2 linked regions of the Lonchura striata genome follow. The protein of the gene in region 1 binds, or shares a complex with, the protein of each later gene. Links are inferred from orthologs where the notes say so. Each region holds a gene or a part of one and is shown in the gene's direction. Other genes may lie near its edges. The genes, in order: MYO3B and espin.

Region 1 (15,953 bases):
TGGTAATGCATAACAACTAGCTCACTGATGAAAATGCTTCATCTTAGGCAAGAAGTCATTGTCAGCGCTTAGAGAGATTCTTCATATCATGATTAATAGTTTTTTTTTTTTTTATGGATAAAAGAGGGTATATCTTCTTATTAAAATCTGCGTTAGAATAAAACTACTGTAAAATAAATACTGGAGAATTGTGGTGATGAATTATGATTGATTGCATTATACAATTAAGGTATATTGTGAAACAGTAGGAAGATCCCTTCAAAATATTAAGTAGTTATTGCTCACTCTATGTGAATGACGAAGTGGCTTTAATTCTCCAGCTCCTGCTTGTAAAAGACTTGATAAATAGATCAAGCTCAGTATCAATTAGTGTCACAACTATCTTTAGCATTAATGAAGCACAACTGCTAGGATTGAACCAGTTTATTTGTAGCTCCATGACTACATCTTAAGGTAGCAGATACTACACACACTACTGTTGTCTAATACTGGGCATGAAACTGGTACATGGAGCACACAGTTGTGTGCAGCACTGGCTGAAACAAGCTCTCCCTGTGAGGAAGCTATCTTGGTGCTGAAGAATTCTGATATGCTTAGCAGGGCAGAAATCCAATATAAGATAAGCTGGTTTCAGAAAATAGGTCACTAATGTAAGGTTGCAGTTATTTTCTTCCAAAGTTTATACTGCATCTCTCTGTTTTCTTCTTCCTCATCCATACAACAAAGCTTATCAAACTTTCTGATTAAGACTGCGGTGAAGAGCCTTGTCTTGGTCTGTGGGTCATCATTTTGTTGCAGCCCTTCAGCCTTCCATTTTAGCACTAACACATGCATTTTGTTTGCCCTGTTAAATTGCTACCAAAGGAGGCAGAGAAAACCTTCTCAGGTATTGATCCTTCACACATGGGGAGTGCACCTGGTAGCCACCTGATTTGCCACCTGCAGTTTATAACTGAATGGGGTCATGGGATTATAAGATTTATTTTAGTGCCGAGTTCACAATTTAAGGTGGAACTGATGTGTTAGATGTTAGTCATTGGCTTTAGTGTATTCTGCTTGTTGGAATTCTATTTCAGTAGCTAATATAAATGGCATTCCTGCAATAGGAATACCACTGATCAGAATTGATTGTTTGACCTGTTCTTTTTAACAGTCTTTCAGCTCTTTGGATCTGGTCTTGAAAAATAATTTCTGCTTAGTAATATGTAATTAATTTAATAATCATGGTAACTGACTAGGTACATTATTTTATTTAGCATTTGGTCCTTGTAGTTGAAGATATGGAACTGATTACATTTCAGTCAAATAAATGTAACGTATTTTAGTTCTGTGTGAATGATTGGGGCTTTATTTTCAGTGGTACTCAAAATTTCAATAGAAGTTTTTGTTGATTTCTCTTTAGTAGCAAGATACTTTTTACCTCACAGGATAAGATGACTCTCAAAAATACTTGGCTTACCATGTGCAGGAAATGATGTTTTACAATAATTTGATTCTCAACAAAGCATTCAGTCTTCCATCACTGAATATAATTTTCTGTTTTAGTCACAGTTATTTTCTTAAATACACCATGACTACCAGAAAACCTTGGAAGTATTATTTTCCATTAATAATACATTGTGTTAATTTTGTGAAAACAAAATGAAAATATATTTTTTGCATACTGGCAAGAAGTGCAAATCTGTTGCACTACTCATCTCTGTGAATTATGCAGATGCTTTCACCTTTTTTTTTTCTTTTGCTTAACATTCAGTGTCAACAGTGATGTTAGGATATTTATGTTGAACCTGAGTGAAACGGTCTTGAGGTTTTGTGAGAAAGTCCTTTCTCACAGAAGACTGTATCCAGTTTTGACCAAGTAGATATCCCCCAAATAAAATGTTCCTACATTTTTCATAAAAATCTTTGTCAGACGAGAGGAATCAGTCCCTTCTGAGAAGTGGTATAAGTTGAATTTTGTTTTTGGTACATTCTGATTGGTTGTTTTACACATGTGCTAACAGTGCCAGCTACAGTAGATACTTTCTTTTGGAGATACCAGAGAAAAGAAAGAATGAAAGTTATTATGTTGGTATCTTGGGTAAAAGATGCAGACTAATCAAATTCACTAGTTTAACTTCATGAAAAAAGTTGCTTTTTACCTTTCTTTTTCTGAGTTACTGTCTACAAACCTTTCCATTCTAGTCAGATTTCAGCTGTTGTGTATATTCAGTTAAAGAAATTCAGCTATGGAGACCAGAATAAAGCATATTGTATCTCTAAAATCCTATGTAAATGAATGGGATTGGATAATTCTAACAGAAAGAGATTTGATTGTTAATATAATACCACTGACATGAGTAAAAATTAGATATAAGAATCAAAGCACCAAGAAACTTCCTGAAGTATTAACGAATATGTACAGGAAAAATGTGGAGTGACTAGACTTTACCCTCACCTTTAAGACCTTCCTACTCTAGGAAATCCTGTTGGTTTGCTTGTTCTGTTCTTGATTCTACAGTAGATTGAGGGAGTGTTTAATTTATCTCAATGTGTACTCTGTGCGTGTTAAGCAGATCTCTAAGACCATTATTACACTGCTGGCAAGTACCATTCATCTAGAAAATGGGTTGAGGTGAAGCAAACTGGTATGACTGTTACATTTACACAGAGATTACTTGGAGCCATGGGTCTGTGGTAAGAGGGAAGCAAATTCAGAATTAATTTCTGGGAAGCATAAGAAATCTGACTTTTATGGGAGATGCAGTTATGAAGGATCCAAGATGCAATGTTACCTGGACCCCTTGAAAGATGGAAGTTCCTCAAGAGTATTGTGGCTTGGGAGTCACAGGACGAAGTACTAAATAGTTCTGGAGTAAAATAACTTTGTGACTCAGCAATGGAGTCAGGAGTTCTTCCTGATGTGACACAGTCCTGTGAAAAGACTGAAAATGCACACCCAGTCAGAATATTGCAGGGGAGCTGGTCAGGGCCAAAGCTGTACTTTACCTTTATGCAGCCTGGATCTGTTTGCTTATCCAACTGGCTGATCAGGATAATGTATTCACCCCTTGCCCTGAGTAGTTTGATTTATATGGACAATACAAAAATGATCAAACATTATTGGACAAAGGTTAATGTTCTCATAAATATAAGGGTCCAACAAGAGTTTACTTACAAACATTTATAGTGCAATGCATTATTATGCAATGAATCTACATGAAAACATGTAGTGGATTGCCTGAACTAGGAACATACCTCTTTCCTACTATACATTTTCCAGGATATTAATTGAGAGTTTTCTGGTTTAGTTTCCAATCTTTGATCCAAAAATTTGAGTTAAGGTTATGATCTTAGAAGTACCTTTAATTCAGTACTGATTTAGGAGTAGTGGTGTGAAATTTTTACCATTTGACTAGAGTGTTCTTTGCTCTCATTATTTCTAGAGAACTAGGTGACATTTAGATTTCTGTGCCATGATGGTCAGTAGCTGGTTTTGTAGTCAGGTTATTATGGTTGATACTGGGAATGTAGTTGTGATTCATACTGTGATGAACTGGAAACATAGACAAGACAAGAGAGCAAATAATCACAATGCTTTCATCAGAGCTGGCATCCAGACACAATCCATTGCCACTGGTTATCACTCAGCTCTGGCCCTGTGGCTAATAATGTAAGTCTAAAAGCCTAGAGTATCTAGTCCATCCATATAAAGGAACCAAAATAAAAGAAAATAATGAAGATACTCCTGAATTTAAAGAACTTCATGGAGACAAAGAGAGTGTACGTAAGCACAAATAATAAAAACTTTAGGTTAGACGACTATGTGGAAAGAGAGAACATGTTTCCCACTTAATGTTCTTTCTGTTTCCAATTTGAACACCCAGAGTTAATTTCATGGCTTGTATATTCAAGTAAGACTTGTTCTGTGAACTGAATTTATTTAGCGTGTTCTCAGGGATCTACCTTTCATCTATAAATAAACAACCAGTTCTGTTCTGGTTGTCTTGTTTTGTCCCTTATGTTTGCCTAGTGAAAATATGTGATCAGCTAAAGTATGGCTCTTTTTTTGTTTGTAAGTGTTATAGCATCAATAATAGCTTTTGAACATGCTTTTATCCTTCTCCTTCATCTTCTTCCATCGCTAACTTTTATCTCAAAAAAACTATCCACAGCACATTCTGCAGTTCTGCAGTCTCTCTCTCTCTGGGTCCAACTGAGAACAGTTACAGGATGGTGTCTTGATAGATTTTTTTGGTATGCTTCATTTCAAGATATTGACATTCTCTTTGTTTTAACCTGGCCAGTGAGAAATAGCGGAGGAGAGTAGCAGAGGATGCTGTTCTGACTATTGATTTTCTTGTGCCTTTTATTGGTTCATTAATTCCTCTAACAATTGCTTCTGTTGCTTCTGAGGTAGCTGTCTGTGACCACTACTAGCCAGCAGAATAGGGTTTGTCATGGCTAGGTGAGGCCATAGCTGATAACGTCAATTTTACCTTCTGAATTCTTCTACCAAAGAGTTAAATTTAGTGTGGAACCAATATGGAGTTCTCTACAAATAGTGAACTACCTTACTTTTGAATACTTCATTCTTACTCTTCCACAGTGTTTGTAAATGCCAGAAGTGCATAAGCCAGCTGTTTCACAAGACAGACAAGAGGGCTAAGACAAATGGAGCATTGCAGAAAGGAGCTTTGTTAATGGATTATTTGTATGGAAGCAGTATTTTCACTACTTTCATTGGTATGGGCTGGTATTGCTATCATGTCCCTACCAGCTATAAGAGAACTCAAAACTGGTTAGTAATGGGTATTGTTAGAAAGCACCAGGCTGAAGTGAGACTCTAATTCTAAAATCTCTACAGACAATGCATCTTGCTGTAAGGTAGAAGAGGGTGCATTTTGGAATGCAGAAGGGAATCACTGTTGTGTAGGAGTTGAGTGAGGTGGTAGTGAAAATAGAACAATAATTGTAAATCTGTTTCTCTGGCTTATGAGTCCCTTTTCTTCCAATAATTTTTGAGGAAGAGAGCTAATAAATTAGGGAAGAGAGATAAAAATTGATAGATAATAATTGAGGAAGAGAGATAATAAATTTGTGAGGAAAAGCTGCTGATTTTATTCCATTTGTAATTATTTCATTAGCAATATCTGCATGTTCTATATGAGTTTGGATTTTTTTGTTTTGTTTTCACAACCTAGGTGAGTATCACAGTAGAACTTCTGGGACACCAGGTATTTTTCCACATGGCTTTTGTGAGACTGTTTAGAGCCATGGAAAACAGTCAAAAGGCTGTGGTTCACAGATGGAAAAGTGATTTGTGCACTGTCTGTAACCTATACTTCTTTTATGATATCTTATATGACATACATAATACATGTAGTCTGTTTATCCTGGGGATACTGTTAAGGGATGATAATATGCAGTCATTGATTCTAATGATGATTTTGAGAGACATATTTTCTTTCAAAGTATAAAAATATTGCTTGCACATTTGTCTGACTGCCATTTAAGTTAGTCTATCATCCCTCGGATTTAATTTGTCCTGACAGTAAAAGTTTACAAAATAGAAGAAGTCAGGTATTATGAGAGAATAATGAAATTTACTTTGATGGGGAATATTTCTTTTTGTGGATAAAGGAAAGAAACTGTGTCAGTGGCTGAAGCCTCTGAATAAATATTTGTCTTATCGTATTATTTGTCTTGGTTGGTCAGCTTTTTCAAGATTTAAGTTACTATCTCTTAGAGGAAACTATCATGCTCTTTGTCCCTATTCCAGCCTCAGAGCAGCTTGATTAGACACCATCAGTTGGCCTTGTGCTTTCATTCTGTCTTTTCCCAAGTACACAAAACAGGGTAGAGTGCTAGGGGTATGATGATGGCATGTAGTCATGCCTCTAATTGCATAAATATGTGCAGTCCCAAATAGCTTTCTGTAATGTGTTCCCTAGCCAGTAGAGTTAATTGCCAAAGTGTAATTTTTCAGCATCTGGTGTTGTCTGTTTTGCTTGCCTACAAGAAACAAATTTAACCACTAAGAAGTTTTCTCCAACTGATGGCAGAAATATTTATAATTGGTAGGTCTCTAATATGTTGAGGCTTCTTCTGGGGAGAGCTCTGCTAAGTTTTTACAGCTAGAAGCCACTCTCTGTGCATCATTTCAAGGCCCAGAGATGTGTGAGGCCTTACATGAGGGGAGTAAAAGGAGAAGTTTCTTCCTAAGTAAAATTCAGCTGCAGTATTTTAGTGTTAAGATCTTCTGAATGTGTGGTTGTTGCAGAAGTGGTTGGGTTCATACATAACTTTTCACTGTATAAATTAAAAGCCTTTGTTAAAACAAGGATGTTTTAATTTCTGAAGCTTAACAAATCAGGAAATAGAAAAAGAAAGACACAAACTTAGTTCACAACTTCAGCCATTCCCCATAATATTTACATTTTGTGGTGGTTTCAGGTTTTTTAAGTCCAGATTTTACATTATTGAAGATATAGCAGATACTGTTCTTTTGCTATTTTGAACTGTAAAATAATGACTTATGTTGTAGGAATGTAATGATGTCATAGATGCAAAAGGTACTTTCACTGATGACAGGTGTAGAACCTTATTTCGATAGGCATTACTTGACTTCAAGAGGAGTTTGTTTTGGTTTAAACAGAAGAGGTTTATGGTACAAATTTCACATCTCTGATTCCATGTAATGTATAAATATGCCATCTGTAAATGTTGCCATGTTATCACAATGCACAGAAATGCTCACAAAAGTTTTTTTTTTTCCCAGTCATCCGTCATGACTCCATCTGTAAAAATTTTTCATTACATTTTATTTTGCCAACATTGTCTTCTGGTACAAAGAAATGTAAATGTAAATGCAATGTTTGAAGTGAAATGTTCGTAAATTAAATGTTTGGATATACCATTTTAAGGGTTATAATTTTCAGTACAAGAGCAGGCAATGGCATCGGATTTTTTTTTTTTAAGAAAAAAAATGTATTTATCCACAACAGTTGCTTAGGAAGGACACATCATAATATTGTGTTGGTACAAAGAGTGCTATGCATAATTTTCTGGCAAATCTGTGTGATAGGGTAGTTGTTATAGTGACAGAGAACTTAATGTCAATCTGTCGTTTTCCTTGTAAGGTTGTATCAAAGCTATTTCCAGACTATTCTCCTCTCTTTCTTTACCCATGAGTATCTCTAGCATTTTACTTAAACCATTAAAACCACATGTTCAATACGTTGTTGTGTTGTTTTTTGTTGTGAGGTGCAACTGTTCCCATGTTTGTATTCTCCACCACACCCACCCTGCAAACCTTGTTCTTGAGGTTGGCTTATCAGGAGTTCCATATCTGTAGCTGCTGTTTCAGTGCATGTAGTACACTTTGTTCATTGATTTCACAGAAGTCTTTCACCTCACCTCCTTCTCTGTTGATGTACTAAGTTTATGTGTTCAGCATACTGTTCTTTATTTGCAGCATGCTGGATTGGATCAAGTATTGAAGAAGTGTCCTAATAACTTACATTATTGTAGCACATAAATTATATTGACTCTGACTTTTTTTTTTTTTAACTCATTCCCATCTTTTTTTTTTTTTTTTTTCCTTCTTTTGGTGAAGAGACCAAAGCAATTTCATACATTATTTGGTACCAGCTTTGGTGCAAATACAGGTTTACCAAGGAGGGAAATAAAGGTTTTCTCTGGTTATCACTGATGTTAGAAATGGTAAAGAGGTAAGACAGCAAGTTTTTAAAATTATTATATCTGCAACTGTCAGGTGTGCTTAAAAAGAAATGGCTCAAACCTTAAAGTGTAAATGTATGTTTGAGGTACTTGTTGATCCATCTCCAAAAATTGGGAACTTTTGCAGTCAAATGATGGTGTTGTCTTCAATTGCCTTTGTAACAATCACACTCCTGTGATCACACATTTGGACTTTACATCTCCTGGTTAAGCATACAGATAGCTAATATACCTACTGAGAGCCACCAAATGAGCAAAAAATGAAATCCTAAAATGGTATTGTCATTTTCCTAATCACCAGAATTTACCATGTATGTAATTTCAGAGTGAAAAGGAACCCTGTGCATAGGCTGCAATGGTCTGTTTGCTGCAGGATCCATTCAGGAGTGTCTGGGGAAGCAAGTCCCCTCACATGAAGATCTTCGGGAGGTGTTCAGCCAGTGTGACAGACCATAACACACTTTGGCTGGCATGCAGAGAGAGAGCCAAGTGCAGTTGTTGAGAAACAACCCAACAGTGATAGATCACCCACCCCAGTGATGTACCTGTTGCTCATTTTCAAGTTGGCTTGTATTTTGATGCCAACCAGCCCAGTCTTAACTTTTGTTAGCTGTATGTAGGCCTGTTGTATATGTATCAGATATAATGAGGCTATACCTAATGAATGCCTGTCTGGCAATCTGCAGGGAGGATTACACAAATTTATGGGAAAACCCTGATACATGTTTTTAAAACCAGAAATAAGACCACACTTATGAGCTGTGTTAATTTATTTGTGTAAAATGTCTGTTAAAAGAGTGTGCAGTAGAGGGAGGGGTAGGTTTTGTCAGAACTTGTTAAAATGTGTTTGGAATGGTGCTGTGTATCGGACAATGTTTGAAGCAAATAATACACTAAAGTAAGGAAAGAGAAGCAGTCTCCAGTGTTTTCTTTCCATCGAGTGATCTTACATTCCTGTCTGGTTTTCTTTTGTGAGTCCATCTGTATTTCTTCTTTAATTAGGACAATATTTGATTTCTTTATCATAAAATGCCTTCTTTAGTACCAAGTTACTTAGGGCTTCCCACTGTATGCGTATCTGCTTTATTTTCCAGGAAGCCATTGTATGGATTGTTTCAATATAATTCCAGTATGATTGGACTAGAATCATTAGCTGATCCCTCAGATACCTGGGAAATTATAGAGACTATTGGGAAAGGCACTTATGGTAAAGTCTATAAGGTTGCTAATAAGAAAGATGGAAGCTTGGCAGCAGTAAAGATTCTGGATCCTGTCAGTGTAAGTAAAAAAAATCTTAAACTGTAACTTCAATGCTAATTTAAAAGAATTCTTGGAGTTGAAATGTAAATCAAATGTGTAAGATATTGAGAACATCCAGAAGGAAGCAATTTTACAGAATGCATTTAGAGAAGGGGTTAAGTACCAGCAACTGAATGACAACTTAGAATTTCATCATCTTATTTGAGGACAGTGTTTGCCTAGTTTCTGTTTTAGGTCTATGTAATTCTTCTGCTACAAATTCAGTTATCTTTGCTTGGAGCATGCAAATTATGAGAAGGCACAGAGGCATTCCTCATAGGCCCTGCTGTAGCAGGGAAAATACAAGATGCTGTTAAACGTAACGTTCTTTTTTTATTCTGTGTACTCCCTAAATAATTACTTTTCCCATCATATAAACACTGTGAATTTTAGGATATTTTAGAGTTACTTTTTATAAGCAGATAAAAATGTGAGGCAATAATTAAGATAAAAAGAGAAGCGCGCATCCCAGATCCTCAGAGGTAGTTCCGTGCCAGCTCTGGTTTTAGTGGATATTAAATGCCTAGCTTCCCATGAGAACCAAGGCCCTAGTTTTCAATGGAAAATTTTACTGGTTCAGGCTGGATCAAGCTGGAATTTGATTATGACAGCTGGGCTAAAATATTTACTAAAAAATGTTATTTTTTTGTCATCAATGACTACTGAAATTAATAATGGTTTTCTCTTGTATGGATGGATCTGAAGAAGGCACAGGCTTAAATTTTCTAATAGCCAAGTCTGTGCAGAAATGAGGAAAGTTTGAGCACTTAAGCACTGTTCTGAGTTGTGGTCTGTGTGCTGGTATAAACATTATTCTGTAATTGTCACAGAATTCTTTCATTAACAAATACCTAGTAACCTTTTCTTATTTTCACAGGTGATTGTTTTGTCTTTCATTCTTTCTGATGTATATATTTGGTCACAAGAATGTATTTGGTTTTATTGATGGCCCCTTTGAGACTTAGTGAAATGGTTCTCTGTTTAGTCCTATCTGGTGACCATAGAAAAAGGAATAAGTCAAAGGTTCATGTGTTTACATTAGCTCACATGTTAAAAACATGCATGATTTAAAACAGATAAAACAGGTTAAATTTCTCACTTAGACAACAGAGCAGAGTTAAGTATAATTTTTAATTTTCTTGTTATGTATATTGTGTACTGAAAGAATTCTTGAAGAACAACTGTGTGATTTACACAGGTTTCGCTTTTCTGTGTGTAAGAAGAGCACAAGTGGGACAATTCTATATGCATTAAATGTCCAGTATATTGTGCTTTCAGCTGCATTAAAATAAAACTATTTAAAAGTACAAACAAAGAAAAAATTAGTTCTTTTTATCTGTGAGAGTTTGTTCTTGCTTTATTTAGAGTCACTGTCTTTATATGTTCTGTATGTTTGTGTTTTTTACTTAGGATGTAGATGAAGAAATTGAAGCTGAATATAATATTTTGCAGTTTCTTCCCAATCATCCTAACGTTGTTAGATTTTATGGGATGTTTTACAAAGCAGATCAATATGTGGGAGGACAGCTCTGGCTAGTACTTGAGGTAAAAACATTTTGACAATATTACATCTTACCTTAGCATATGTGGTTGGATATTTGTTTGTTATTGCTAAAAAAGTCACAGGCTTTCATGATTTTCTGATAGATGATATGTTGTAGCCTGCTGTTGAAAATCACATCCAAACTTCAAAATTTGTTTGATAGGAAATGATCTTGCATTTAATTTCTGTTTGAATTGCTACATTCTGCCTCCGAAATAAGCAGCTCTTTTTAATTTTTTTTTCTTGTTAGAGGAAACATTAGATAAGACATTTATTTAAACTTTTTGGAGAACTCAAGCATTTGAGGGGAAGGCAAAAGATAATGAAGTAGTGGCATGGAGGGCAGTTAACAAATAAGCTGCTTACTGCAAAAGTGAACGGAGAAAGTGTAATGGGAAAGTCTGCTTTATAGTAATTTTAAACTAGAGGCTGCTTGTTGTTGGAAACCTAGCAACAGAAATGCCTTCTATTCACTTTTCTTGTTCAGTGCCAATCAGTACTCTTACAATGTCAAATGTATTTTGGTGGTCTTGTTTCCACCAAAGTTAAGTGACTGCCAAAGGTGGTTGTAAAATGAGGATTTCTTTCTAGGCTTAATTGATGCAGAACTCTGCACAGGCAGTTACTGCTCTGATGAGCAGTAACAAATCATTCAAGCATTCATTTCTTTCATAACTAGAATGGTAAAAGCTAGGATTAACTTTTTAATTATTGATTGTTTTAAAAATTGAACTCCCCATTCTTGAATGATGACTAGAATCAGAATAGGGAGTCTTTATTTCCACTACAAGTTCTGGAATCCCAAGAGAACATCTAACTTAGATGTACTGGAGCAGTATGTAGCTTGAATGATAACTTTTAAATGTATTTCCTCTCAAAGTTCAGTAACTGCTGAAAAGTGACCTTAGTATTTTTGATTTGGTGTTGGTTTTTTTGTATGCATGCTGTCTTTGTGTTGAGTTTGGGCTTGGTTTCCTCTGTGCTTTTTTAATAGAGTCTTGTCTTTAAAGATTCATTAAGTGCCAAATGAGAGAATTTTATGGAACAAAGTCATCATATACTCTGAAATAAAACTGAATGTAGAATTTGAATAAGATGTGTGGAATTGCGTTTTTATATGTTTTATTACGTTTTCATTCTGTCATGGTTTGTTCCAGTGTACTCCCATACTGTATTGGTTTCTCCCTGAGTTTCCCGCCTTCCCTCGTGTGTCAGTCATCCCAGACCATGTTGAGTCATTCCCCTGTCCCCTCCAGGTGCCTTGTCCGTCACTCGGTGTCCCGTCCCCTCCAGGTGCCTTGTCCGTCACTCGGTGTCCCTTCCCTACCTCTGGAAGCTTCCATCCGAGTGATTGGATGAGGGCCTGGGCCCCGCCCCTGTCCATCCCTCACTGGATCCCACACATGTCAATCCCCACAAGAGACACTCTTTGTGTTTCCCCACTGGCTGATCGGTTCCCCTCCCTCTCCCTATATAACATGTTGCCAGCAGCTCTCAGTTGTTCTTGTTGGCTGGCCTCCTTTGCTTGCTGTTGGGTCCGCAGGATCTCAGTAAACAGCGGAGTTTTTTTGCCCCAACAAGTGCCTCTCCTCGTCTATTCACCGTTGGAATCAGCAGTGACCCCAGAACCCACTAAACACTCTCCAAAACCCCACAGGAGAGCTAGCCGGGGCTGAGGATATCTGGGACAGTGGTCTGGGGCAGGGATGCAGCAAAGATGTATGTGTATGTACTTTATCAATTAAGTATGTGCATTTCAAATGGCTTTTGGTGCACATAATCCAAAGTTTGGAAGAAATTTGATACAATTAAAAATTTCAATATATGGAAAAATTTATTGGACAACCCAAAGTATTCCTTGCCTTGGAATTTACAGCAATTTATAGATTTATGCATGCATAGCAGTAACTTGTGATATTATAAATTAATTACTCATTTTCAGTAAAAGGGAATATACAAAGTATTCAGACTTTCATCCCTGAGTCTTTGATGAAATACATGTATTTGATGTGTGACTTCCAAAATTTGTAATAAAAAGGTGGGCTTTTTTTTCCCTTTAGGCATAGTTTTGCCATGTTTACTCACTACAAACAGGACCTTACTTTGATAAATGCTTGTGATGAGGAAGGGTGGCAAAAGTGAACGCCTTAAGTATTTTTATGATCATGCAAGTCTTGGAAAACTGTAAAGCAAACTTCTCAACTTTTTCGTATAAATGTACATCTCTCCAACTATTAAAGTATTACCATTGGGTAAAAGGTGGTAATGAAGATTCCAAATTCATTTTGTTCGAGGTCTTTGCTGAGTTTCAAGAATAGCATCACAGAGAGCTGCAGTAGTGTTTGTGGGATATATTTTTGAGTCAGGCATTCATTTACCATATCCTACCAAACAGCTGTCAGTCTGTATTATTTTTCAGTTGCAACCAGCTTGGGTTTTTTTTTTTTTGACTTAAGGCATACTTTAAAATATTTTATCTGTGGGCTAGAGATAGATTTAGTATAGTCTGTCCAAACAGAACATTTCATGCTATGAAAGCAATACAAAGAAAACTTTAGCTTAGTCTTGTCAGCAAATGGTTAACCATGGGAAGAAAAACTTGTAGTTCCATGTAAATACATTTGATAATTGATATTGACCTGAATGCTCCTACAAATTTATGAAAGATAAGAAAAATATTCCCTGCTAACAAATTAAAAAATAAAGTCAAATTCCTACAGAACTTATCAATGCTTTAAATGATTAAATTTTGCTTCAAGGTCCTTTTCCATTAACTCAAATTTCTAGTCTAGTGCAATTTTTTTTGATGCAAGGAGAAGTTAGTAATAAGGCAAGTATTGGCATATAACAGAAATCAGTGGTTGAATTGATACACAGTTTTTCATAAAAGCCATTTGAAAGATGCAAATCTTTCAAGATGCAAATGGTTGCAAGAAGCTGCTTCTCTGGATTAGAATGTTTTTCTGCTGTTGACAGTATATGGCATCAAATCTGAGTATAGAGATATGGCTTCTGTCTATTTTATATTGCATGCCATCAGGAGCACTGATGAAGTGAAAGTTTAAAATGACTAATTTGTTGCTTCCCAGTTATCAAGAGCATCAATCTTTTCTGTCTGGGCTATGCATAGAAGGATTTTTTTTTCAAAAAGACAATGCGTGTATTGTGAAAATACTCAAATAATGTAAATTGGATTTATGAATCCTCTTTTAACACTGAAATGCAGTCCTGTTCATATTATTTTTATCTTTTTTGTTACATTTTATAATTTTCAGTTTTCTCTTCTCTCCCTTTACTCAGGCTGCTGTGATTTATATTAGCATTGCCAATAAAATGAGGTCTGTTGTTCCAGACATGTGTTGTAGCACAGTTTTGCATGGTAGGTGTTTATAGCCCAAACAAGTATATTGAGTAACTGAGAACTTGTCTTGCTTTTTTTCCCTCTGCACAACTCCCCCTTTCCAGCTGTGCAATGGAGGTTCTGTCACAGAGCTTGTCAAAGGCCTGCTGAAGTGTGGCCGAAGATTGGATGAAGCTATCATCTCATACATCTTGTATGGTGCTCTCTTGGTAAGGATGTTCATTAGGCTTGGAATGACAGCAGAGGGTGCAATTCACTTATTGCATACACTCATTTTCCATTTATAGAGTGAGGTAATGTGAACAATATTAGATGGTCTGTTATAACAGCAGGGGTTGTATAAAGGTATATAATCTGGTGGACAGCTGTTTCTGTAGAGTTTGCAGATTTTCCTCATTACATTCACTAATAGCAGGGTAATTGTTTTTAAATAAGGGAATAAACTTATTTTTGTTTTGTTACTGCTGGTATATAGGGCCTTCAGCATTTACACAATAACCGGATCATTCATCGTGATGTGAAAGGGAACAACATTCTCCTGACAACAGAAGGTGGAGTCAAGCTCGTTGATTTTGGTAATGACCACTTCCCCTTTGTTTTCTTGATATGCAGTTTAGCCAAAGGCTCTGTTTACTTTCCCCTGGGAAGGCAGAATGCCACGGTGAGACTTTTTCAGAAGCATACTCAGACTTATTTTAAGAAGGAAAAATGCAAAAGGAATCTGATTACAGCAAGAATAAAAATTCTAACTTGAAATCAGTAGTAGAGTTTTAATTTTCAAAAGCTTAAACTTAATTCAATAATTATTAAAATTCTCAACCTAGCATTTTATTTACAAAGCTCTTTTGCATTTCAGAAGAAATGTCAGTTTCAGGGCAGTTGTCCTCCTAATTTAAATTCAGATATTCTGTCTTTTGCATATGAAAAGGAAACATTCTTTCTGAGATGGCTTTTGATAGCCTTAAGCATATTTTTTCCTCTCTGAGCAGAAGGTAAAATAGTCCCTTGGGTCCAAAACTCAACATCCATTTAATTTGTGATTATTGCTCTTAGACTTGGGCATTGCCAGTCTGGATATGTCATAAGAAACAAGAGAGAGAAAGAGAGGGAGGATAGTAGAATGGCACTTGGCAATAGGTTTAAAGTCAGTTCAAATTTTATTCCTTTGAACATGCAGTAGAAAAAAAATGCTTTTGTCCCTCATATACGTATGCAAGGCAGTGGACAATTTATTAAAAGTAACAGAAACAGATCATTAGTAATATGATTTATTAATGAAACCATATAATGTGTAAGGTAATCATCTGAAAATAGTGTATGAATGATATGTTTGTTTAGTAGTGCATGAAGGTAAATAAAAATGTTCACAAAATGAGAGTAGGTAGAATACGTAAAAAAAATCTGCAAATATTTTTTAAAAACCTTAAATTATTACATGTATGCAGTGGAAAGAAAATTGTATATTGGTGATATTATGGTATTATAAATTTAATACACATATGTATTGAAGATGCTAAAGTAAGTTGTTGCATAAGAGATTCCTTAGTATCTTCTAGGGACAAAATTTCATTATTTTGAATTGTAAAGGCAGCAATTAAAATACACCTGAAACAAAACTTGGAGTGAGTCGCTGACCTAATAGAAGAGAGGAAGATCCCTTCTCATTTGGGGGAGTTTTGGCAGTCTGATCTGTGTTTTTACTCCATTAGGGGAAAAGTTGGCTTTTCTCCCCAAAGCGTAATGTTTTTATCAGATGTATTAAAGGCCTCTAAGACAGACCAGTGTGCTCCAACCCCAAGTGACACATTCAAGGAAACTGAGACTTCAATCTTTCTGGTGTCCCTTGGGTCTCTCTGATTCCATATTTAGGTTTCAGGGGTTTTACTTACTTTGTAACTTTTGTTACTTTGTAACAGTAGCACTAGAAAATCACAACAAATATGACAGGCTCAGGAAAAAAAAAGAGACTTAAATCTTAAGTGTTCCCTGCTGCTTAACAGTCAGGAAATGCCAAAAAATACCCATATA
Region 2 (15,953 bases), on another chromosome or scaffold:
TCGCCAACGGGATCAAACAGCAACAATGGCTCTGGGAGGCAAATGGTGAGTGCCTGGGAAGACTCCTGGGGGCTTTCAGGGAGCTGCAGCCACCTGAAGCACGAGGTCTGCAGTGCTGAGCCCAGCAGCAGCAAAGCGGTGGAGCCGGCAGCAGGCTGGGGCGGGTGGAGGCATGGGGCTGGCGCGGGCCGGACACAAAACGAACGGGAACAACCTGTATGTTTGGTGGGCGCTGGTGGCAAGGGTGCCAGGCAGGTCACTGCTGGGCAGCCTGCTGCATCTGCGCCTGCCGCTTGGCTTTGGTCTGCAGGTACCTGCCCTTCCCTTCCTCGAAGCGACGCTTCTCGTCCTCTGTCTCTGTCTGAGGTCACAGAAAGAGTGTAGAGCTGCAGCATCAGTGTGCTGCGAGTGTGTGCGGGAGGGAAACACCTCCCCTCACAGAAGTGTGAGGGAAAAGCTGCCCTCTGTCAAACACACAACATGACAGCCAGTGCCCTGCATTAAGCAGGAGACCAGTGCCAAATCCAATATTAAGCAACACCCCCCCAGTCAGGAGCAGTACGTCAGCAAAGCCCTGCCAGCATTAGGGGAGATAATATAGGGAGGAAGATGGAATGGGGACATCACGGGGAGCAGCAATTAGGGACGTGGAGGCCTCTGTTGCCACTCAGGGTCCCCTAGGGCAGGGCCTGCATGCAGCCTGTCCTCAGCAATGAGAAAGAAGAAAATCCTCAACCTTCACACTAGCAATTTAAAAAATAAAAACAAAAACAAAACAAATGCAAAACAAAAGCAACATAAATAAAAACAAAAACAACATCAAAACAAAACAAAAACAATCAATTTCAAACTAAAACAAAAACATGACAAATCAGAACAACAAAAACATCAAACCAAAACCAAAACAAAACCAAACATACCAATTTCAAAACAAAACAATGTCAAATCAAAACAAAAACAAAACACCCCAAAACAAAAACAAAACAAGCAAAAACCCCCTGAAGCCTGTCCTAGAAGTCTCATTCATGCTCATATTTTTCTGCTGAGTAACTCAAGGGAAGAGGATTCTTGGGCTGGGCTCTGCCCCAGGAGGAGCAGAAGAGGTGATGGCCCTGCTGGGTCCAATTGAGAGAGAAAAGCTCTTACCAGCAGCTGTGGGACAGGCAGGGGCTTCCCCTCCTTGCTCAGGGACACATAGGTGAAGAAGGCGCTGACGGCACGGTACCGCTCCCGAGGCTCATCCACAAAGGGGTCAGCATCCACAAAGACCTCTATTTCCATGGATTTATTGCTTGTGAATGTCATACGTCCTGAGACAGTGATGACGCAGCCTGTGAAACAGAGAGGAGCCAGTGAAGGGAGCAAGGGGCCCTGCATGTTTTATGCTTAAGCTGTGTCTTAAGCGGAGCAGGGACTAATCAAACATGGACTAATTTTCTCTGCCAGCATGTCCTGAAAGCACATCCAAGGGAGCCAGGGTGTGGCAACAGAGGAGATCACAGTGACTGCCACTACCCTTGGTACCTTTTTTGATCTTCTCATGGAAGTTGATGGCATCCACCGAGGCAGTGACAATGTTGGTTTTGCAGTGGCGGGCAGCCACAATCCCAGCAACTTCATCCATGAGCTTCATAGTGACACCTGTGAGGGGAAGCAAGAGGGTCCTGTCTCAAGGAAGTCAGTGGGATTTCAGGAAAACCACACCAAGGTCAGTAAGGCCTTAGCATGGCCAAAGCTATGCAGGGGAGCTGGACCAGAGACAAGTCCCAACTTCAGGAAAATCCAGTACAATGGCTCCTGTCAATACCAGGGCAACCTGCTCACAGACATGTGATTAAGGTCAGCTCTGTCTCTCCCAAATTTCTCTGAGCAAACCTCACCTTTGTAAGGTGAGATCAGTCCCACCAACCTTGAAACTGCTCTGAGCAATATTTGTTTTGTTTAAGGCTTAGGTGTGTGTTGTCCCAACCCTCAGCAAACACACCTCTCCCAGGGCTTACACTACACGTGCCAGCTAAGAGAAAGTTACTTCAGGTAATTGCAGTCACACGCTGCGTGTTTGTACTACAGGATTTGCAATCTCAGAGGCAATGACAAAACTGTAGGATTTACAGTTTCAGTACATGAGTTTTTAGGGCACAGAAAAAGACGAAGCTTTTGTCTCAGCTAAAGCAACTCTGACCCTGGCAGTCAATGCAAAGGGGCCTGTGTGCCTCCACAGGCAGAGCCCACCAAAAACAGAGTCACCACACTTTGCTCCAGGGAAAAGCCATGCAAACCTGCAACCAGGTGCTGTGCAGGGCAGTGCTCACTCACCTCCATGCACAAAGCCCAGCAGCGTGCAGTCTGACGGGCCCACCAGATGGATCAGGCTGGACTGGCTGTAGCCAACAGTGTGTGGCTCTGGTTAGAGAGCAAAGCAAGGTGAGAGCTACTCAGCTGGCACTCATACACCATACACCACTGTCTTAAGTTGTCCAAAGGAAGAAGACATGGGGCTGGCTTGTGCAAAGCTGAACTATGTTGAAAGCAGTGGTTAAATCAGGCTGGAGAAGTTCTAAGAGCATAGACTGTTCACCACCTGACGGGCTGCTGCCTCCCTCTAATCTCCACCCATCCACTTTATTCTAGCTCAGCTTTTTTCTTTCTTTTCAAGCTTTCAAAGAGCATGAAAGCAAACAGGAGTGAACTGGGTTACACGGCTGTCTGCTTCTGCCCTCAGCTGAACCACCCAGACCCTGCTGCAGAGAGCCCCTGTTTTCCCCTTGGTGAGAAGACCTTCACCCCCATGCCCCCAGCCCTGGCACATCCTGGTGACCCCTGTCCCACCACAACCTCCAGGTGACAGAAGTCACACCCTCAAACTCTCAGCAGAGGAAATCCTCTCTCAGAAGTGGCTGTGTTTTCTATCTAATGAGAGATGTTAAAGAAGCTTAGAGAAAGGAAAAGCAGCCCAGTCCCACGCAGGGTGACCACCCATGGAGCAGTGCCCACTGAACCTTACCTTTTGTCTGCCTGTCTGTGAGCAGGGAGGACAGAGAAGAAAAAAGCGTTTGAGCAATTTTCATTCCCCATCACCTCCCCCAACATCCCTCATGTGCCACCTCTCCACTTCTGCCGGAAGACCACAGCTAGGCCTAGAGGCCACCCTTGCCCAGCACTTGCATTTATGCCTTGCTGAGCAAAATCAGCTCTAGCTGCACACAAGCACACAAGGAGTGATATAGGAACAGGGTTTTGGAGAGGGGATCTCATCCATGGGTATCCACATTCAGGGTACCACAGGTATCCACTCAGCTCCCCCTCCACTCACACACTGCTACTCCAAAATCCCATCCCCATCCCTGGTGTGGTGTTTCAGAATGCACACTTGCAGCTACAGGGCCCTGGGGATGGCCAGAGTTGCCCTGGAGACCAGTTTGGTCTCCCAGTACTGCTGGGAAATTTGCACTGGCTCCACACTGCCTGTGTTACCTGGGTTGATGACAGGTAAAATCACATCACCATTTCTCTGCTTCGTTTCCAGACGATCCAGCTTTTGCTCCTCATAACGCTTCTTCCCCTCATCCTCCTGCTCCTTTCTCGCATACTGGAATAGAAGGCTAGTAAGAAGGGGATTGGCAAAGCCACTGGCACAGCTGGGAGTGCCAGCAGGGCCAGGTTAGTGTCATTCCACAGGGAGGACGAACTCCAGTTCAGGGGGACCCAAGTGAGCTGTCCTACCTGGATGGGGGGAACCTCAAGGACCTTATTCACGTTCTTCAGGGACAGCGGCACATACCACAGTGTCGCCTTATTCGTCACCTTCTTTGCCCCTGAGAGGAGAAGGGGCAACAGGTGATGGTGCCAAGGCCAGCAGCGCTGCACCTGCCACCGGTCTGGGGTTGGGCACACACTGGCAATGCCACTGGCATTGTGGCCCCTTGCCCTGCTGGCTCCTACCAGGTTTTAGCTCTTAGCGGATGTGACAATGCGCTTTTGGGAAGGTGTCCCAGCAAGCAGAACTGGTTGTCACAGCAACAGCAGCAAAAGGGACTTTTTCAGGCCAAAGGCAGCCACAGGCAGCAAATCAGGCAGGAAGAGCTACAAACAGATTTTGCTGTTTTTCACTACAATGGAGCCATAAATCCCAGGGAGCCTGCTTGGCCTGCCTCCCCAGCACCAGCCCTCCCTCCACTCCCAGCTCTGTCAATAAACACACTAGATCTCCTCTCTGCCACATCCTGCCAGTGATGGAACAGAGGATGGGGTCACTGCTGCAAGCTCTTGGCTTAACACTGTTACTCCTGGTGTTCTGGGACACAGCCACCAGCAGCCACCCACCTGTTAAAATGTTTTCAGACATGACGTTGACCTGAACCTCCACAGAGTGCCGGGAGGTGTAGGTGATCTCAGCACTGACGTTGGCCACCTCGCCGATGCACATGGGCGAGAGGAAGTCCGTCCGCTCCACCCGTGCCAGTGCAGCCACACAGGGCTCCTGGGGATGGTGAGACAGCCAACACAGTGATCACAGCCACACCACGCGGGACCACAGCTGGCAGCTCCCTGAGACCAGCCAAACATGCCAGGCATGTGTGGCTCGGATACTGCAACCGCCACCTTATCAGCCACTGGCCGCGCTTCCTTCCCCATCTGTAACCAACACCAGGGTTGCCCCAACTTGCCTTTCTCGGGAGTTAAATCATTAACAGCAATAATGAGTAATAATGGTTCTGCTGGTAAACCACAATTTCAGCAGAATGCTTCTAGCTACTGGGACCCTGCCCCAGCTCCAGAGACGCCAGTGGTTTCCATTCAAGAGCAAACATGTCCAGTGTAAGAATCCTGCTGCCCTGAGACACAGCAGAGAGTGAAAGGTCACCATGCCAGAGGCTGGCAGGCACACCGGCACCTACTCACCCCGGCCTGGGAATTGCAGTGACGGGTGCTGATGATGGCTCCTGCCTCCTCGATCATCTTCAGGATGGTTCCCCCGTGGACATTCCCCGCGATGTTGGCATCGTCTGGGCGCATAATCCTACCGAAGGAGGCAGATGAGAGCTCACAACCCCTGACGCGCCCCCAGCCCAGCCCCGGTGTGGCTGCTCGGAGGCAGCATATCGCCCACCGGCTGAGCTGCCGGGCCATCGCTGCTCGCATGCGGTTTCCTGTGAGCGGCGAAGGAAACACCTCCAAATTAACTGCTGGGAGCGGAAGGAAGCAGGACGCCTCTGCCAGGGCAGCCGGCGTCTCACCAGGGCCGCACCCCGCCGGGCCCCGGTGCGGCACAGACCGAGCCGGCCACGTGCCGGTGCTCCACGCGGCTTCCTGGCAGCAGCCGCGCTTTCTGCCAACGGCGAATAACGGCCCGGGGGGCACTGAGGCAGCGGCTGAACGCTGGCCCGGACAGGAGCTGCTGTTTCAGGGCGGCGGTGCCCGGGAGCCGTGGGGACACCGGCGGGAGAACCGCGCCCGGGAGAACACGGCAGCCCTGCTCGCTCCCAGCCCCCGCAGCACGGAGCACGGGCGCGGCGCTGCTGCGCTCTGCCCGCGGCCGGTGTCACTGACAGCATGACTAAACCGGGCGGTGCCGCCGATGTCGGCAGCAGGGCGGGCAGTATCTCGGTTGCAGACCGGCACCCGCCCGCGGCCCCCAGCACGCCCGCCTCCCTACCCAGCCCTGTCCGAGCCCTCGGCCGCGGCGGGGCCGTACCTGGACACCTGGATGGCGGCCGGGCTAGGGCCCGCGGCCCCCGGCTCCGACATGGCGGCACCGGTGCCCCGCCCGCAGCGGCGCTGCGGCACCGCCGCGCTTGGCCGCGCCCCGCCGCGCCCCGGGCACGCCCCGCTGGCCGCGCCATTGGCGGACAGCGCGCGGGGAGGAGCGCCGGCACCGCGGGCAGCCGGGGCGCCGGGCGGCTCCGGGGCTGCCCGCGGAGTCGTGTGTCCCCACCGGGACTGGGGTCTCCCCGCCGCGCCCAGGAGTGCCCTGTCAGCTCCGGGACTCGTGCGGAGCCAGGGGCTTCGGGTCGGCAGGGGCAGCACCGCCCCCCACCACCCGCGTTCCCGGCGCCGTCGGCTCTCTCCGGTTGTAACAGTTCCCGTGGGCGCCCCGGGGTTTTGGGTCGGGTGGTGGCGGCAGTCCCAGGCAGGCAGTGACAGCTCGCAGTGGAGCGCACGCAGGGTCCGGAGGGCGTTCAGGATCCCGCCCGGGGGACGCGGAGTGCCGGGAGCCGCGGCACTCACGGCCTCGCCGACCGCGATCTCTCGGTTCTCGGTAGTGCGAGCGCGGCAGCGCGTCTCCGGGAGGGACCGGAGAGCCTGCGGGCGGACGGAGCCGCCCGTGGGCGCGGCGGGCCGGAAATGCTGGAGCTCTCACTTTGCACAGCTCGGCGGAGCAGGGCGGGAGAGCCGGGCAGGGAGGGCGGGGGACAGGCAGCGAAGGAGGCGGGCAGGGCGGCCTTGCCTTGTCCTCGGTGCTGATCGAGAAGCACCTCCGCTGTCCGCGGTCCTGACGGAGGGTCTCCCCACCCGTGTCCTCCCACGCCGCCCGCTGCCCAGCCAGCGATTCATAAAACTACTTTTCTGAGTGGCGGCCGGGACAAGGACCGGTGCAAGACCAGGTGGATACCAAAGCGGACCGTGACCGGTTGTCGGCACCCCGCGGCCGGCTGAGGCGGGGCAGCCGCCCGCCCAGCGCCCCCCGTTCTGCCTGCGCTGCTAGGGCCGGCAGCGCACGTCGAGGGTGCCGGAGGAGCCCATCTCTGCCGCACCTCTTGCCTGGGCGGGCGGCGGGAGGGGACACCCGTGGGGCCGCTACACAAGGCCGCGGACAGCGGCGCCGGCAGCCGCGAACGGTCCGCCTTGGGGTCAACCCGGACTTGCACCTGTCCCGGTCCTGGTCCCGTCCGCCATTCGGCAAAGCGCGGCTGCACCAGCGGAGGCCGGGGGCAGCGGTGCGGGGGTCCCGAGCAGCGGTCAATCGCCGCGCCGTCGGGCGGGGCGGGCGGAGGGGCGGCCCCGGGGGAGGGAGAGGAGGAGCCGGCGGGGCCGGGGGGCGGCGGGGCGGGAGCGCCGCACAGTGCCAAGCGGCGGCCGGGGCCGCCGGGGCCGCCGCCGGGGCCGCTGGGGCCGGGGCCGCCGCCGGGATGGCGCTGGAGCGGGCGCTGCAGGCGGCGCGACAGGGCGACGTGGAGGCGCTGCGGGGGCTGCGGGCGGCCGGGCTACTGCGGCCGGGGCTGCGGGACGCCCTGGGCGCGTCCCCCGCGCACCACGCTGCCCGCGCCGGTCGCCTCGCCTGCCTCCGGTACCTGGCGGCCGAGGCCGCGCTCCGCGGGGACGCGCGGGCGCGAAACGGGGCCACGCCGGCCCACGACGCCGCCGCCACCGGCAACCTCGCCTGTCTCCAGTGGCTGCTCACGCAGGGGGGCTGCGGCGTGCAGGTGCGAGCGGGGTCGCGGGGGGCGGCGGAGGGTCCCTCGGTGGCGCGGGCGGCCGGGGAGGCGTTCCGCGGTCCCGTGTGGGTGGCTGTGGCCGCGGGGAGACGGTCACGCGTGGTGCTTCCAGCTCTGCCGACGGCGAGCCGGGGTCCGTCCTAGCCGGCACGGGCAGGGCTCCGCCGTGCATAGCGGCCGGCATCCGACGGACCCGGAGAGTCCCCGGCATCCCGCAGGGGTTCGGCTGCGAGGGCAGCACATATTCCCCGGGGCTGCCGCGCCCTCCGGGGGTTACACAACGGCGGGACCGCGGCGGTAAGCGGCTTGCCCCGGGGCCGGCCCGGAGTTAAAGACATGTGACGGCCGAAGGAAGAGGAGGCGGCGGCGGGGCTGGGAGCGGAGATTAATCGGGAAGGAAGGGGTCAGCGCGCATCGGCGACCTCCTGGCCAGGGGCCAGCGCTACCCGCGCCCCACCGAGCGTGGAGGGTGGACGGGCCGGCGGCACAGCGGGGCTCGGCGGCAAGTTCCCGCAGTTAGGGGCTCGGCGGCAAGTTCCCGCAGTTAGGGGCTCGGCGGCCGGTAGAACAAGGAGGGCATTGTGCTGCACTCACTGTGTGCGGACGCAGGCCCTTGACGGAGGGCAGACACGTTGGTCCCACGGTCGCTCCAATGCCCTGTGCTCCTGCTCCAGCCCCGCTCCGTACGGACAGGAACTCCACCCTGGCCGCCCCACCCGCCTGGAATCAGCTCCGGGCTGGGGAATGCCCCACGGCTGCCTGCTGTCCCCAGCCCCCTTGCCGGAAGGGCTTGGTCCCTAGTACTGACGGCCGTCCCACTTCCTCTTGCAGGACACAGACAACTCTGGTGCCACCATCCTACACCTGGCAGCCCGCTTCGGTCACCATGAGGTGATCGACTGGCTCCTCCGCTTTGGAGGCAGCGACCCCACGGCAGCCACCAACACGGGAGCACTGCCCGTCCACTACGCCGCGGTGAAAGGGGATTTCCCTTCCCTGCGACTCCTTTTGGGACACTGCCCCAGGTAACGGTCCCAGCTGCTGGCAGCGAGACAGGGTCTGCCGGAAGCTTGGCACCCACCAGCAGGAGAGGGACTAGTAGGAGAACAGGGTGCCTGCTGTGGCCCCAACCTTCCCTCCAGCCACTGGGCAAAGTGCCAGCACTGGGGACGAATGCTGCAGCCACCCTGATCCCCTAGCTCCAAGGGCAACGCTGCCACGTTATCAGGCTGGGCGGCCAGCTATACCTTCTTTATGGCCCAGAAAGAAAGGGAGAGGAGGAGAGGGGCGAGCGCTGGCAGAAATATTGTCACTGGCCGCTGAGTCGGCTCCTGGCGCGGGGCGATAACACAGCCGCCTTTGTCCGCCCTCTGTTATGTAAATGGATTAGGCTGACCGCCGAGGAGAGGCTGCTCCCCGCGCCGGAGACGACCTTTCCGCTTGCCCAGGTCCGTGGGCATTGCTGGACATGGCAGCCTCTCTCAGACGGCTCCGCGGCGGCAGCATCCCCGCTTTTCCTCCCGAGCGGTACCCGGAGCCGGGCTGGTCCCTGGGTTACGTGGCATAGCAGTCCACAGGGCCCGCGATGCCGGGCCTCGCCACGAGGCTGCAGCAGGTGATTAGGTGGCCGCTAATCCGATTTCCTGTGGTGGGCAGAGGCCACTAGAAATAACTAGAAATAACCCACAGACCCGGCCAAAGCGGAGCCGGGGGGATGCGCTGTTGCTCCACATTGTCCCTGGAAGGCTCCAGGGTTGTGGATGAGACGGATTGCACAGCTCTCCCACATCCAGGGAGTCCTGAGGCAGCGGGATGTGAACCAACACTCAGCATCCCTCTGTCTCTGGGTGCCACAACACTCGAGCCCTGCATCTTTTTCTCCAGGCAGGGCCACAGAGATCCCTGGATCCCATGGCACTTACTGGCCAGAGCTGTCCCAGCCCCAGTTCTTTATCTCCTTGCCCCAGGTGTGCCAGCTTAGCCCTGAGCACTTCTGGGATTAACCCCTGCAGCCTAAACCCAGCCCCAAACCAGTCACTGCTCCTGCTCGATGCCCACTGTGTCAGCCCAGGTGTGGCACGGCTTCGCATTGCCTTTCACGCTGCTTGCCGGGGTTGTTCCGCTGCTGTCACCGCCTTCCCCCTGAATTATTTAGGGCTGGCCCTGCTCCCAGCCCCGCGCCTGCCCGGAGGCTCCGTTACAGCGGGGAAATCCAATCCCTGGTGCCGCTGCGGGATGCTGGCTCTCCCAGCCCACCTTCGCATCGGCCCGCGGGGCCCCCCCGGCAGCCGGTGGCCCAGCATGGGGTCTCAGCCATCTGGCAAAGCAGTTTACTGGTGGTGCCCAAGTGGCTTAACCCCTTCCCAATTACTGAGAAATGGGAATCAGGGACTGACCCAGTGCCTGTGCTCCCGCTGTCTCCAGCTCCCCAGCCCCTGCTTGGGGAGCACGCAGGGCTGTGCCCACCTGGCACTCCTGGACCGCGGGGCAGGCACTCAGTGGCACGGCACACAAGGCACAGAGGGAAGGGAGTGCTGGCCACAGCCCGTCTCACAGTTACAGGGATCAATTATTTAGGGCCTGCGATCGTTGCGATAAGAGAGCAGAGTATTTATTGCTCTTCCTTTTTTAAATATTCAACAGGGTTTTTTTATGGAGCACTTAATAAAACAGCTTCCTGTGGGGTCGGGAGGCAGGATGCGGGATGTGGGATGCAGAATATGGGTCTATGGGGGATGTGGGGTAAAAGATGTGGGATTCAGGATTTGGGCTGCACAGTTTGAGATACACAGTTCAGGACAAGAGACACAAGGATGCCAAGGCCTTTTGGAGCAGTGAGGGGACACCAGCACCCAGCAGCTGTGCCAGGCACTGCCATGGTGCAAGTTGGCCTTTCCCTGCTGGCTCCACGGCTGGTGCTGTGTAAGCAGCTTACTTTAAAATACGACTAAATTGCAGTGTCCAAAAACAGCCAGAGGAAGAAGCTTAGCCTAAGCAGGCTGATTAACTTAGTGACCTCCCGCTGCAGCTGCAGCCACTGCAGCAGCACGGGGACCTATGGGAAGCCATGGGGTGGACAGCTCCCAGCCCTGGCACTGCCCTGCCTGCCCGTAGCTGTTTCCCCTGTACCTGCCCACGTTCCTTGTGTCTCACAAACCCCCATGTCCCTGTATCCTGCCTGCCCCCTATCCCAGCCCTGGCAGTAGCAGTGGCCACATGTGACAGGCGCTGTGCCCCACTTGCAGTACGCTGAGTGCCCAGACCAAGACGGGGGCTACCCCGCTGTACCTCGCCTGCCAGGAAGGCCACCTGGAGATCATCCAGTACCTGGTGCAGGATTGTGGGGCTGACCCCCACGCGTGTGCTTATGACGGCATGACCCCACTGCACGCCGCCGCCCAGATGGGCCACAACACTGTCATCGTATGGCTGGTAAGCGCTGTCCAGACACGGCACGGCGTGGTGGCACAGCATGGTGGCACAGCACAGGGCACAGAGCCCCAGTGCTCAGCCCGCCTGCCCACACAGATGAGCTTCACGACGGTGAGCCTGTCGGAGCGGGACGCCGAGGGGGCCACGGCCATGCACTTCGCCGCCAGCCGTGGCCATGCCAAGGTGCTGAGCTGGCTGCTGCTGCATGGCGGGGAGATCACTGCCGATGGCTGGGGTGGCACACCACTGCATGATGCTGCTGAGAATGGCGAGCTGGAGGTGGGTGCTGGTGGCCAACAGGGTGTCAGGTCAAGAGGGGGCCCTTCCTTCCAGCCCTGCCATGCACCCCCACTCTCCCCAGTGCTGCCAGATCCTGGTGGTGAACGGTGCCGACCTCAGCATCCGTGACCAGGATGGCTACACAGCAGCTGACCTCGCCGACTACAATGGCCACAGCCACTGCGCCCAGTACCTGCGCACCGTGGAGAACATGGTACGGCGGTGCCCAGGGATGAGGGCATGGGGAGCACACAGGGAACACACAGAGCTTCACCACCCCTGTCCTGCTGCCTGACCCCACGGCTGTGCCAGCAGAGCGTGGAGCACCGCGTGCTGTCACGAGACCCCTCGGCGGATGGGGAATGCCGACAGCCTGACTCGGGCATGTCATCGCCCAACACCACGGCGTCGGTGCCCCAGGCGCGCTTCGAGGTGGGCTCCCCTGCCAGCACCCTCTCCAACTACGACTCCTGCCACTCCAGCCAGTCCAGCACCGGGGAGAAGAGGGGTGGCCTCCCAGGGGCCCCCGCCGCCCGTGAGTGCGGGGCCAGGGGGCGTGGGGCGGGGGGTGCGGGTCCAGCCCCCCCTGACCCCCTGCCCTGCGCAGGGGTGCCTGAGCCGGCGTTGGCGGACATGCAGGCGTACATGGACATGCTGGACCCCGAGATGCGGCCACGGGGCCGGGGCCCAGCAGGCGAGGGTCCCTCGCCGCCACCACCCCCTGCCTTCCCCCCACCACCACCCCCACCCCCAACCACCCGGCCACCCCCGCCACCCCCTGGCTACCCTGCACCTGCGCCCCCCGCTGCCCCCCACACCGCTGACATCTACGTGCGGGCCAAGAACAACCTGCGGCATGTGGAGAGCCAGGCGCTGCGCCGAGAGGTACGGCCCCATGCACCATGTCCCCTGCACCACGCCCCATACACAGCTCAAGGGACATACCACTCGGGAGGGACTCGCCACCAGGCACCCATCCCCATTTGAACAGTTGTTGCCTGCACTGGGAGGGGACAGTCCCAGCTGAAGGCCACATGCCTGCGGCACTGGCATGCACTGGGGGGGGATAGGGCTCAACCAGCAGCAAGGATGCAGCAATCTGAGGCCAGTGATGCTCTGGTAGCTCCACGGCACTGGGTGGGCCCATTGCACAGCTGCACCGGCTGGGGCACCTGGCAGCATCATGCCATGGCAGCCGCGCCCATGCGGCCCGGCCATACCACAGGCACCATGCCGAGCTGGGCGTGGGCAGCTGCGCAGGCAGTAACCCGAGCGGCCGGCTCCGGTGTCGCCCGCGCCACAGGTGTCGGGTGGCACAACCAGCGCTGCCAGGAGCTGAGAGGGCTCAGCCAGGCGTGCACAGGTAAGAGGGGTGCAGCCCTCCATGGCGGGTTGGGGGGGCATAAAGATGCAGTAGGTTTGGGGCCACCCTGACCCCCTACCATGACTTGCACCACCTCACTGGGGACAGGATTCTGGGCATGGTCAGGACACTGGCAGAGCTCAATGCTCTGGGGGACAGGGCACATGGGATGGGTGTCTCAGCAGGGCAGTGTGTGCCAGGCATGTGATGGGCTCAGGACCTCACAGTGCTTGCTGTGCACAGCCTTGGCTCTTTAGTGCTTACTGGAGTAATGGACTGCCTTGGGGAGGTGTGGGTGTGTGGTAGAGTGGTGCCACAGTGGTGCGGGTGCCCTATGAAATGGGACTCAGCAGCACAGACCCTTGTGCCCAACCAGAGCTGGGACTGCTAGAGTGGGAGCCAGGCTTGGCACAACTCCCATGGCAGCTGGAGTAGGAAGCACCAAGCTGACGTTTGTTGACTTAGCTGGAGCTGCTGGCGGTGGCAGTGAGCACTCGGGCTCACCAGCTCACCATGAAAATGCCATGGGTGGAGGTGGCATACGGGGAAATGCAAATAGAGGGGCCCCCAACAAGGGGAGCAGGGCTATGCCACGGTGGCAGCCCAAACCCAGGGAGTAGGCACAGCCCCCTGCAGCACAGCACTCGGCTGCACAACTCGCAAAGCCGCTGTGGAATGTGCCGGGGTGAGCTGAGGCTGCGCTGCTTGAGCGCCCTGTCCAGAGGGAGGTTTGGAACCGGGCCCCAGCCCCGCGCGGGATAAGCTTCCTGTAATCCGCGGGGCTGGGGCTCGGCACTCCTGTTCCCAGGGGGTTATCCCGGGGGAGGCTTGGACAGGATCCTGGGCACAGGCTATGGGGTCACAGTGCCAGGCACTGATGCTGCATGCTGCCAACATGGCACACAGCCCCTGGCAGAGCCGTTTGCCGAACAGACCCCAGGGCATGCACCTGTTGTCCGTCCCAGCTCTCCATCTGCCCCAGGGCAAACCGCTGGCACGGTCCTACTCCACTACAGCCCCGCACCACGGTCATAGCCGGGCACGGCAGTGCTGAGGTGGGCTCCCCATTGCAGCTGGCATCGCGTGACAGCAGTCCCGAGGGCCTGCGCCGGGCCGACTCCAGCAGGCGGTCAAGGAATTTCGGCAAGCAGCCGAGCACCGGTGACTACTACAAGCACCTGGGGCACGTTGTGGCCGAGCAGGCAGGCCCCCAGCGAATGGCGCACACCGAGGAGGTGAGCCCCGCGCCGCGAGCCTGTGCACGGCTCGGTGGCACCGGCACCGAGCAACGCCTGCCCATGCTCCCTTTCAGGCATCACCCATCTCGGCGGACACCATGAGCAATGGGGAGAGCAAGTCTGGTGCCGAGCTGCCGCCTCCACCCCCGCCCCCACCACTGCCCGACACCTCCTGCCCGACACCCCCACCGCCGCCCCCACTCGCCGAGACTCCCGCTGGCCCCCGCCGCTCCTCCTCGTCTACGGGAAGTAAGTGGCAGGGTGCCGGGTGGGCACGGGGAGTGATCCTGGGCACTGTCTCTTGGCTGCACTGTGGCTTTGACCTCCTTGGCTCGTCTCCTCCCGCGGCACTCGGGCCGCGCGGCTCCTGACAGCCTCTCTGTCCTTCTCTCCTCCGGTGTCGGCGCGGGGGCCCCCACGCCCGCTCGCCCCTGCCTGCTCTCACTGCTGGCCGCTTCTCTTCTCTCTTGTCTCGCGGTGGCCAAATCCTTCCTCTGCCGCGCGCCCCGCGCCGCCTCTCTGCTTCTCTCCCTAGGAGGAAAGGCGCTCAGGCAGATGAAGAGTAAGTACCGCGGCCCCACGCTCCTCCCTGCTCAGGGGGTGCCCTGGCGCGGGTGCCGCAGCCACGGGGCACCGACGGCCGCTGGGGCTGTCCGCTGCCCGCGGCGCCCTCGCTGCGCGTCGCCGGCCGGCGGTGGCACGCGGGGAGCCCAGCGCCGGTGCGGGGCTGCCGGAGGCGGAGGCAGGGCTGGCGGGGCTGGGCGGGCAGCGGGCCCCGCGGCCCCCGGCCCCGCACACAGAGGCCCTTTGTTCGCGCTCAGCCGGCCGGCGTGACCCCGCCACGTGAGCGCACCGGCCGCTCCCCCGCCGCTGACCGCGGCCGGCGGGCTTGGCCGCCGCTCGGCGCCCGCTTTATTAGCGCCGGCTCCCGGGACCGGGGGGTCTCAGCCGGCGCTGGATGGCAGCGCGCACGTCCCGCTGGGCCCTCAGCACCCGCAGCCCTCTGGCTGCGGCGTGGCGCAGCCGAGCGGAGCGAGCTGCGGGCGCCGGCCGCGGGCAGGGGGCTTTGCCTTGGCGCGGGACCATGGGCCGTTAGGGACTCACGCATGGCTGGCACGGACGGTGGGTGCTCGCGAGGCGGGTGGCGTGAGCAGTGGGAAGAGCATCCCCGGGGTGCCGGTGCCACGCAGCCCTTTGGGCACCGGGCTGGCAGGGAGTCTGGCTCAGGCTGTCGGTGCATCGCTGCCGACAGCTGTCGGGAATGTAAGGGCCATCCTGCAGCGACAGGGATGCCACCGGCCACGGAGCCATCCCTCCAGAGGCACACTTCTGTTGCAACATAGTGCCTCGGGGGCATGGAGTGGCGTTGGGGCTGGGGCCAGTCTGGGACCCTTGCAGCTGAATGCCGGGGTGCTGGGGTGCTGCTGCAGCAGAGTGCTGTGGACCCTGTAAGCTGCTGTTGGAGTGCTGGTCTTAGAGATCTGTGGAGCTGGGGTGCCAGGCTATTGAGTTCTGGGGGGTGACTCCTCTGGGGTCTGATGGACCCAGGAGTTCGGTGATGTGCTGTTCCTGTGGACTGGTGAGCCGGGTGTCTGGATGCTGCTTCAGGGGTGTTCCAGGGGCTCCTGGCAGGCACGGAGGGGGGCAGTCAGCCAGCCACTCCTCCACTCCCCTACCCTGCAAGCTGCTGGGGAATTCACAGGGGCAGGGAGATTGTGCTGGCAGGGTGCTTACTGCCCTTCTGCCTCCCTTCAGGCACCAAGTCCTTCAACATGATGTCCCCCACCGGTGACAACTCGGAGCTGCTGGCCGAGATCAAAGCTGGGAAGAGCCTCAAGCCAACGCCACAAAGCAAAGGCTTCACCACTGTCTTCTCCGGCAGTGGCCAGGCAGGGGCCAACGTAGGTGGTGATGGGGGCCAGGGGAGCCGGTGGCGCGACACAGCACAGCACGGCAAGTGCCCACTGCCCTCCCTCCCTCCTTCCACAGGCAGAGTCGCCAGTGTCCTCCCCGTCACCCACCAGGACGCCCACCCCGCCGGCCACCCCCGAGGCTGCTGGGCCACCACGCTGCCTGGCAGGGGGCTCACCAGAGCCAGTGCTGAACGGAAGCTCACCGGTGCCAGCAGCAGGCGCTGGGGCAGCGGTGGAGGTGGAGGCGCTGGTGCCCAGCCAGGACGAGCACGGTCGGCCCATCCCCGAGTGG

Evidence for each region.
Region 2: the proteins of MYO3B (region 1) and espin are in contact, whole or in part, in a crystal structure (PDB 5ET1), measured with the Mus musculus proteins. The link is inferred for Lonchura striata from reciprocal best matches to the Homo sapiens genes MYO3B and ESPN. Residues at the interface, in XP_017174528.1 of Mus musculus: Arg1223, Arg1224, Gln1226, Gln1227, Pro1228, Lys1229, Met1230, Leu1231, Ser1232, Ser1233, Asp1236, Thr1237, Met1238, Tyr1239, Tyr1240, Asn1241, Gln1242, Leu1243; in NP_997570.1 of Mus musculus: Leu35, Ala37, His41, Arg45, Ala67, Asn69, Ala71, His75, Asp76, Ala79, Thr80, Asp101, Ser103, Leu110, Arg113, Phe114, Thr135, Thr137, Ala139, His143, Tyr144, Ala147, Thr169, Asn171, Tyr177, Leu178, Gln181, Ala203, Asp205, Met207.

What each region holds. Positions count from the first base shown.
Region 1 is NC_134610.1:19,877,075-19,893,027, forward strand, and holds the start of MYO3B (myosin-IIIb), read left to right. Parts: upstream 1-8,821; 5' UTR 8,822-8,853; coding exon 8,854-9,000; intron 9,001-10,431; coding exon 10,432-10,566; intron 10,567-14,029; coding exon 14,030-14,134; intron 14,135-14,400; coding exon 14,401-14,500; intron 14,501-15,953.
Region 2 is NC_134626.1:4,187,989-4,203,941, forward strand, and holds the start of espin, read left to right. Parts: upstream 1-7,130; coding exon 7,131-7,424; intron 7,425-8,267; coding exon 8,268-8,461; intron 8,462-10,681; coding exon 10,682-10,868; intron 10,869-10,964; coding exon 10,965-11,147; intron 11,148-11,229; coding exon 11,230-11,361; intron 11,362-11,462; coding exon 11,463-11,637; intron 11,638-11,727; coding exon 11,728-12,032; intron 12,033-13,583; coding exon 13,584-13,745; intron 13,746-13,822; coding exon 13,823-13,997; intron 13,998-14,283; coding exon 14,284-14,310; intron 14,311-15,503; coding exon 15,504-15,649; intron 15,650-15,737; coding exon 15,738-15,953. Other genes in the region: ACOT7 (cytosolic acyl coenzyme A thioester hydrolase), read right to left, coding at 257-361, 1,147-1,331, 1,525-1,641, 2,317-2,403, 3,475-3,589, 3,724-3,815, 4,324-4,480, 4,903-5,142. UniProt on the Homo sapiens protein: Multifunctional actin-bundling protein. Plays a major role in regulating the organization, dimension, dynamics and signaling capacities of the actin filament-rich microvilli in the mechanosensory and chemosensory cells.